Linked DNA regions of Caenorhabditis elegans. The protein of the gene in region 2 interacts with the protein of the main gene of each other region in a pairwise test. Each region holds a gene or a part of one and is shown on either strand. Other genes may lie near its edges.

Region 1 (3,755 bases), 1.9 Mb from region 2:
GAACATATCTGCCACATGTTTCCATTTTGGATCAAACTCTCCATCCACATGAATTTCTGTCTGTTTACTTCCAGAATCTGAATTCCAAATGACCAATGCAAATCCGAGAAGGAAAATTAGAAAATGTGTAATTGTAAACTTTTCGAGCATTGCCTCTAAAACATGAATTTTGATAAATTTATTCAAAAAATGAGAGGTGGATGTTGAGAGTGAAAGGAGCGTACAATATAATTCAGCAACAGGGAAGAATTGAAAGAGATGAGACGAGGGAAAACCCGGGCTTCAAAATATTTGAAAGCACATTTTTTGGAAAACTCCAAAAAAAAACCTCAAATCACGGAAGGAAAGTTCTAGTCGGTGATGATAAGAGATGAAAGCAAATAAAAAGAGACTAATCATAAGAAAATTGGAAAAGAGAGAAAGTATACAATTTATTCATTTCTGGTGCTCCTCATCTTCATACGTGGCACCGAAAATGGTCACTCCGGCGACAAGAGCGGTGACAGTGAAAAATTGGGCCATAATACGGTACTGCATCATTTTTTGAGCTCCGACTTTGTCACCAAGAAATGAGGATCTATAGAAAATTTTGAATTTTTATGTGTTTTTTTTTGATAAATAAATTTTAGAATTTAAGATTCCTCTAAAATTTCATTAAATCTTAATTGCCAAAATAAGTTAACTTGATATATTTTAAATTTTTAACAACGATACACTATTATTAATCACGTGTTCATACATTGTTTACTAAAGTATAGAACATAGACAGAGATCAAAAAGTGTTAAAATGAGAGAAAACTGGATTTGGCAGAAAAAGTGGTAGACTACACTCTAGCTAACACTGATAAGGTCACATAAATGAAATTGATTAATACTTGTAAATACTAATAAAAATGTGTATATATATATACTAAATTAGTAATTGTTCTCGAACGTCCGAGACTAGTCTGGTGTCCTCTATGCTCCGCCCAATTTATCGGACAGGTGGTGTCTCATCTAATCTGTTCTCTGTGCTCATTTGCTCAACACAGAAGATCAAAAGTTCAGACAAATTATGCACTCAACGAGATTCACGTGAAAAGCACAGTAACTATATCAAAAAATCACAAAAATATTTGACGACCCCCGGTTTCAACACGAATTCTTTTAAATACAAACGGATGTTGTTCTTTAAAGAGTAGTTTTCAGTTTTTGTTACAGCGGAATTTTTATCGACTTCTCATAGTTTTTCGTTTCAAGTCGTGATAAAAGCCATTTGAAAAAATCGATGAAAACTTGGCAACGACAAAAGTTTAAAATTGCAGTACTCTTTAAAGGCGCACACCCGTTTGTATTGAACAAAAAATTTCGTGTCGAGACCGAAAACCGTATTTCTGGGGCAAAAGTCGCGTAACCTCGCGTCTGGGTAATACAAGTTTTCCTAAACATATTTTCGAAAAGGTTTAAATTTTTAGTTTTTCAAACAACGTTTAAAACTATTTATTTTTAAGATTTTGACACTTACTTGAACATTCCCAAAAGGGCGGCAGTTGTCAGTCCCATTCCAAGAATGACTCCTGGATTGCTCGCAGCATTTGAGACCACTCCAGTCTTCTGTGCACCGCCTGTGTTCTTTCCGCTGTGGTATCCAATGTCGACTGGAATTGCAGGGATCTGAAAAAAATTTTTTTTTTAATTTGAAACAAAATTTAACTTTATATTGTTTTAAATAATATTTTCAAAGAACTCACTCCATTGTATTTCTCGGCATTATCCATAGTTCTTGCGAGTTGTTGTGGTGTCATATGTTCTTTTTTCCATTCGTAAGATCCTTTCTTCGGCTCCTCGTGGACTCCGGCGACGTTCATGAAAGCTGTACGGAACATGCCCATTTTGTGTGAAGAGAGTAATTAACTATAATAAGAAATAGAACTTACACAAAAATAACAAAGAAACGCGTAAATAGAAAAATTAGAGCAATATAAAATGAATTAAAAAAAAAAAAACATTGAGAAGACTATATGAATGTTCGGACCGATTGAACGGATTCATCGAAAACTAAAATAAGATTAATCAATTTTCAAACATTTATGAAACACATAATTTACAAAAAAAGATTTTAGAAACCGTAACAAACGAGGAGCCAAACTAGTAAAATTGAATAAGAAATTGAGCGCTAAAATTTTTAATTTTTGACACGATTTTAACCGAATTATTTAAGAAAAAGCAAGATATTCTACTATAACTGCTCATTTCTACCAATTTGTACAATTTGATTCTGGTCAAACAAACAAATTCGAAATTTACATCTTGGTAACAACTACTCCTGCATCACGATCACGTGCGATTTTCTGAGCCATTGCTCTTTCAGCGATGTAGAATGTTGAAAAGAAGAAAAGTGAAGCAGTGACAATGAAGACTACTCGCATTCTGTCGTGCATTCTGTTCATTGTTCCATGGCTGAAATTGGAAATATTTATCTTAGACAATTTATCGGCTTTTTTTAATTTGAAGTTTTCCATTAATTCCAGGAATATGCATTTATGAAGCTTTTTTTTTTAAGATTTTCAAAGAAAATTACTTACTGAACATATGGTGGAATATCAGCGGCAGACGGGTAAAGTTTGGTAATCACCAAAAATTTTCTCTGCCACTTTGTAGGTACTTGTCCAGTTTCTGAATCGGCTGCTCCAGTAAAACGAGAATCTTGAACAGAATGTTTGAAATCGTCTTTGGTTGCGTAGGTCACACGATGTTGGTCAACCTCCTGGCCTTGTTGTTGTTCGATAATTTGGGCCTGAAAATGAATAAGTATGAAAATAGTATAATATTCAAATTAGCTTACCTTTTTTTGAGCCATTTTAGCTTCCAGCGGATCAAATCTTCGAATTGCCATACAAACAGCCGGAGTCATTCGCGATGAGGCTTGCTGTCCTCCGCATCTTATAACCGATGACAGCATTTTGACTGAAAATTTTAATTTTTGTCGATTTTAAATCTAAAGTGCAAGCTGACCGAAGAAACAAGAATAGTGATGAAAAAAAGCTGAGAAACCGCCCGTTTTTGAAACGCAGCATACGAGAGAAATGTAGTACACAAACTCCGGGCGCAACAGGAAATAGGAGAGACTCAGTGATGCAGAGAAATTTTTTATTTCGTTGAGAAGTGCCTCAGGGTAAGAAAAAAAGTATCAATATCTTCTGCATTTTGAAGAAAAATAACAGAAAAACACGAATAAATTGGAATTAAATTAATAATAATACAGTACCCCGCAAAGATGAAACTACGCTCTATTGATAAACTTGAAACGCGGTGATTCAAATTGAATTTTTCATCAATAGTCTTTGAATCTGCATGCCATGTAATTTATGTATTAATTGAAATGCTACAATCTGATTAATTTTCGAATAATTCAAACATCAATTTCAAACTCTCTCTCTTTGTAAAATTATTGAATAACGTGGAAATAACGAGCAACTTACTTAGTACTATAGAATATCAAGTAGCAAGAACCTAAAGGAAGATAAAGATAATAAAGTAATGAGGGACCATGTTGGCAAATATTCCTTTTGTCATCATTTTTCGCATGCTTTAATGATACTTTTAGGCGGGGTTTTTCTTCGCAAGATTCACGTTTCGGACCCGAAAAACGCGCGATAAGTCACGTAGGCCGCCGTCTGTCTGGTGTCTAGTGCACTAAAATGATGACAAATACGTACTCTCATTCTTTGAACGTTCCTCGTTGTCAAGTTCAAATATTTTCTCCTAGGAATCCA
Region 2 (3,755 bases):
ATTTCAAAAAGTTTTGTAAATTTTTCCCTTGACGATTTCTGTAGCTCAGCCAAATTTTTCAATTGGAGAATCTTTTGAACTAGATGATCTAGATTCCACTAGATGTTTTAGATGCTTCGGAAACTTTTTATTGTGTCAAAGTTTTAATTTAAAATAAAACTTTTTTCATATAAACTTACATAACGAATAGTAGACAGAAAAAGAAGACGCACGTTCGCATTGTACTGCGAAAATAAAAATGGTACGATTATAACAGTACCACCTCGAGTATCATCTATGTCCCGCCCATTATTTGAGTGTCCTCAAATTTGCATAGCATTGTTGTAAAACCATGTCACAAGTGGGATACTTTACAAAGTATATGTTAAAAATTGACAGCGAACACTAATGTTCTGAACAACATAGAATTAAATAAAAATCTAGCAAGTTCAATATCACGATAATCCAATATATCCCTGTTTGTAAAAACTAATGTTAGCTGAACTTTCATCTTATTGAAGACAGTGTACAAGTGGTGGATATCCATTGTCTTTTTTCATTTTCAACGGGAATTTTCATTGAGATTTCCACAAAATGATGGCTAATTGATAAGGGCAAAACGAGAAATCGTAGGAAGAAAAGTGATAAGAAGCGACGCCTTCGAGGCTTATTCTATCTTTTTCGTCTTCTCATTTTTGTGGAAAGAATCAACAATGAAGCTTCTTCTGTTAGCTGTTTGTGTCATCGGTTAGTTTTTCGATTGTTTCGTTGATTTATCCCTAAATTTAGCTCTAAATGGTAAAGGAAATATTTATCTAATTGGGTTAAAATATGTTCAAATTTGTTTTAAAAAATATTAAGAAAAATACATAACTAATTTATTTGACATATCCAAAACTTCTTAGTCATAACAATTTTACCCAATATGAATTCTGCTTGTACGTCAATAAATTGAAACGTTCTATAAATAACCAAATTTCGATTCTCATATTTTCTTCGTCTTGCACGAAATCGCAAAAAAAACCAGTCCAGAAAAATTGCTTCTATATAATTTTCAGTTGATCAATATATTTGACTTCAAAATTCAATTAATTTCAACATTTCAGGATTCGTTGCATGTTATGAAGTTGTACCGAGAGCAAGTGCTTTAAGACCGAGAGGAGATGTTCGAAGGTTTAACATTTATTCCATTTTTTCTTTAATCTATTCTTCAGATCACCCCTCCCATCATTATCGGCATATGCTCCTTTTGCTAAATCTCTTCGTCCAGCTTCTACAGGAATCCGACGTGCTCCAGCAGTTGTTACACTTCCAGCTCAAAAAGCTAATCGTTCAGTGAAAAGAGCTCCAGCTAAACCACTTCCAATGACACTTCCACTTCTTCCACCACTTCTTCCACTTCCACAATTCATTCCAGTACCTGTACCAGTCCTGTCTGCAGAAGGCCTTCCAACTCTTCCAACTCTTGCTCCACATACTTTCCCAACTTTCACTCCAATTCCTGGAATGCCAACAATGCCTGCATTGACAATGCCACCAAGTTTCCAACGTCTTCTTGGAATCACAACTACAACTATGAAACCAGCTGAAAAAGCTATGGAAACTGTTCAAACTGAAGAATCTGATAATGACACAACGTCCGAAGCTAGAGCTCATAGGTGAATTACTCAAATCAGGAGAAAATAATCTAATATTAATTAATTTCAGCGCCCCAACATACAGCAAAGATCTGAATACAATTCGTTCAAGACTTTCAAAGTTTGTAAGAGGAAGTGAAAAGAAAGTGACAAAAGCAGAAGACAACGCTGATTGGATTGTTCCATTCCATTGATCTCATCAAAATATAATAATTTTAATTAATAATAAATAATTTAATTAATTTAATAAATATACCCGCGTGACATCGTTTGAATTCGTTTTACACAGAAAAAAATCAGAAAATAAAAAGTGAAAAGAGAAACTGAATCAGTTTCAAATATTTCCTTGTCGACAGTTGCTTTCATCTTCGCATCAATCTATTCGGGGTAAGTTAATATTCAGACTGCAAAAAATCAAGCCACCTAGGGGACTCGAACCCCTGACCTTAAGATTAAAAGTCTCACGCTCTACCAACTGAGCTAAGGAGGCCAGCGAGTGCGCTGGGTCCAAAGGCATAGACGCTCGACTAGTTACAGGAGACGCGAGAGTGGGTTGCTGTGAGATAGACACGTACTATTTACAGATGGCAACCAACAACAATAGTTTTCATGTAAAAGGAAAAGAAGAAGTACAATTCGAACGGAAAAATGTGGTTGTAGCATGTGATGTGGTCAATGGAAAGGTAAATAAAGAATCCAACACAGGGCTCGCGTCGAGAGCCGAATAAAACTTCAAAAGCCCTGATGTGTAGAACAGTAGAACACTCTTTAATAAATAAGAAGTCCGGTTGCAATTTCCTTCGAGGCTGTAAAAAGACTCATTTTCAATTCAAAAATCGAAGAGATCTTGAATAATCACATTGCAGATTACATATGTGGATGTGAGTAGCCAACTGATGGGTGTTCTATTTGCTGGTGATGAGATTCTGAATGTCAATGGAGAAACTGTAAGGAATATTTTAAGATTTTCCGTTTCAACTAATCAAACATTTCCAGAACATCAAGACAACTGCTGACTTTATCCGTGCAATTAGTGCAAAACTTCCCGGAAAAGTGACAATTGAATTCATGCGAGACGATCATTGCCTTGTCACTGAAAAACCAATGCCACCACGTCGTCCAAATACTCAAATGGTTGAGTTGACTTTCACTTATCGTGGAGGTGCTGCAACAGGGATTATCATTCATAGAGTTAGTAATCAGGGACAATTTATACTTTCATGGATGATTTACAGATGGCAGTTGATCCAAAAACTGTGACTATTTCAATGGTTCAATCGGCTTCCAATGCGTGTCACTATGTCAAGGATGGAGATATTCTTGTTAAAGTTAATGACATTTATGTTCTTGATCGTGACTCTGCTAGAAAGGTATTGTAGTATTTTTCTTATTTTATTTTAGTAATTAACTTACTTTCAGCTTCTCTACGCGAGTGTCAACAACACAAAAACGGTCCGTCTTACATTGGAAAGATCCACAACTACTGATCCACTTGGTCCTGCTCCACCGCCTCCCGATGGTGCACAGAGCACACCTGCTGGAGTGAAGAAATCTGGAAATTCAGTGATGCTTCCTCCTCCAAAACCACCCCAAGGAAAAGCCAACAAGCAGTTTGATGTGGTCAGTTTGAACCCATTTCCTCTTATCATTTCATTTACCAAAACATGTTTTTATTTTCTTCTTTGCAGCTTCTTCCTCCTGATGTTTTGGAGATTATGAAGGCAAACAAAGATTTCTACAAGAAACCGTGCAAGAATCCTCCATGCATCATCAAAACAACCGCCGCATCAGCCCCTGCTCCAGTTCCAGCCACCTTGCCATCGGATCCTGCCCCAGAAGTTCGCATCCCGTACATTCCGTCTCCGAAGCCCCTGAAAATGACTCCAAAACGTGTGGGATCTTAACTTGAGAAAAGTGTTCGAAATAAAGTTTTCAAAAAGTGTTTGTTTGGTTGTTTACCGTTCTATCCATCCCTAACCTATGCCTAGAGACACAAATATTTACGGTCCTTCAACCTGTGATTTGAAAAAGGCAGGCCTAATTCTATTTATTGTTGAATGCCAGATTGGTTTCTCCTCGAAACCCTCATGAATCTAAAACCTACAGCTTTTACACATTATTTGAAACATTTCTAGTCTC

Evidence for each region. Proteins that work in one complex are often made in the same cells at the same time.
Region 1: the proteins of mpz-3 (region 2) and M05D6.5 interact in a two-hybrid assay, tested with the Caenorhabditis elegans proteins (one large-scale study listed by BioGRID).

What each region holds. Positions count from the first base shown.
Region 1 is NC_003280.10:8,480,324-8,484,078, forward strand, and holds M05D6.5 (HIG1 domain-containing protein), read right to left. Parts: upstream 1,881-3,755; 5' UTR 1,872-1,880; coding exon 1,731-1,871; intron 1,654-1,730; coding exon 1,505-1,653; intron 578-1,504; coding exon 436-577; 3' UTR 164-435; downstream 1-163. Other genes in the region: lact-4 (Beta-lactamase-related domain-containing protein), read right to left, coding at 1-150; taap-1 (TAil-Anchored Protein), read right to left, coding at 2,283-2,439, 2,565-2,776, 2,825-2,941.
Region 2 is NC_003280.10:6,563,599-6,567,353, reverse strand, and holds mpz-3 (PDZ domain-containing protein), read left to right. Parts: upstream 1-1,957; 5' UTR 1,958-2,003; intron 2,004-2,033; exon of another isoform or gene 2,034-2,106; intron 2,107-2,200; coding exon 2,201-2,299; intron 2,300-2,482; coding exon 2,483-2,563; intron 2,564-2,612; coding exon 2,613-2,807; intron 2,808-2,851; coding exon 2,852-2,986; intron 2,987-3,035; coding exon 3,036-3,236; intron 3,237-3,304; coding exon 3,305-3,520; 3' UTR 3,521-3,560; downstream 3,561-3,755. Other genes in the region: dbd-6 (DB domain-containing protein), read right to left, coding at 180-220; F18C5.5 (Vegetative cell wall protein gp1-like), read left to right, coding at 693-726, 1,086-1,152, 1,194-1,637, 1,687-1,810.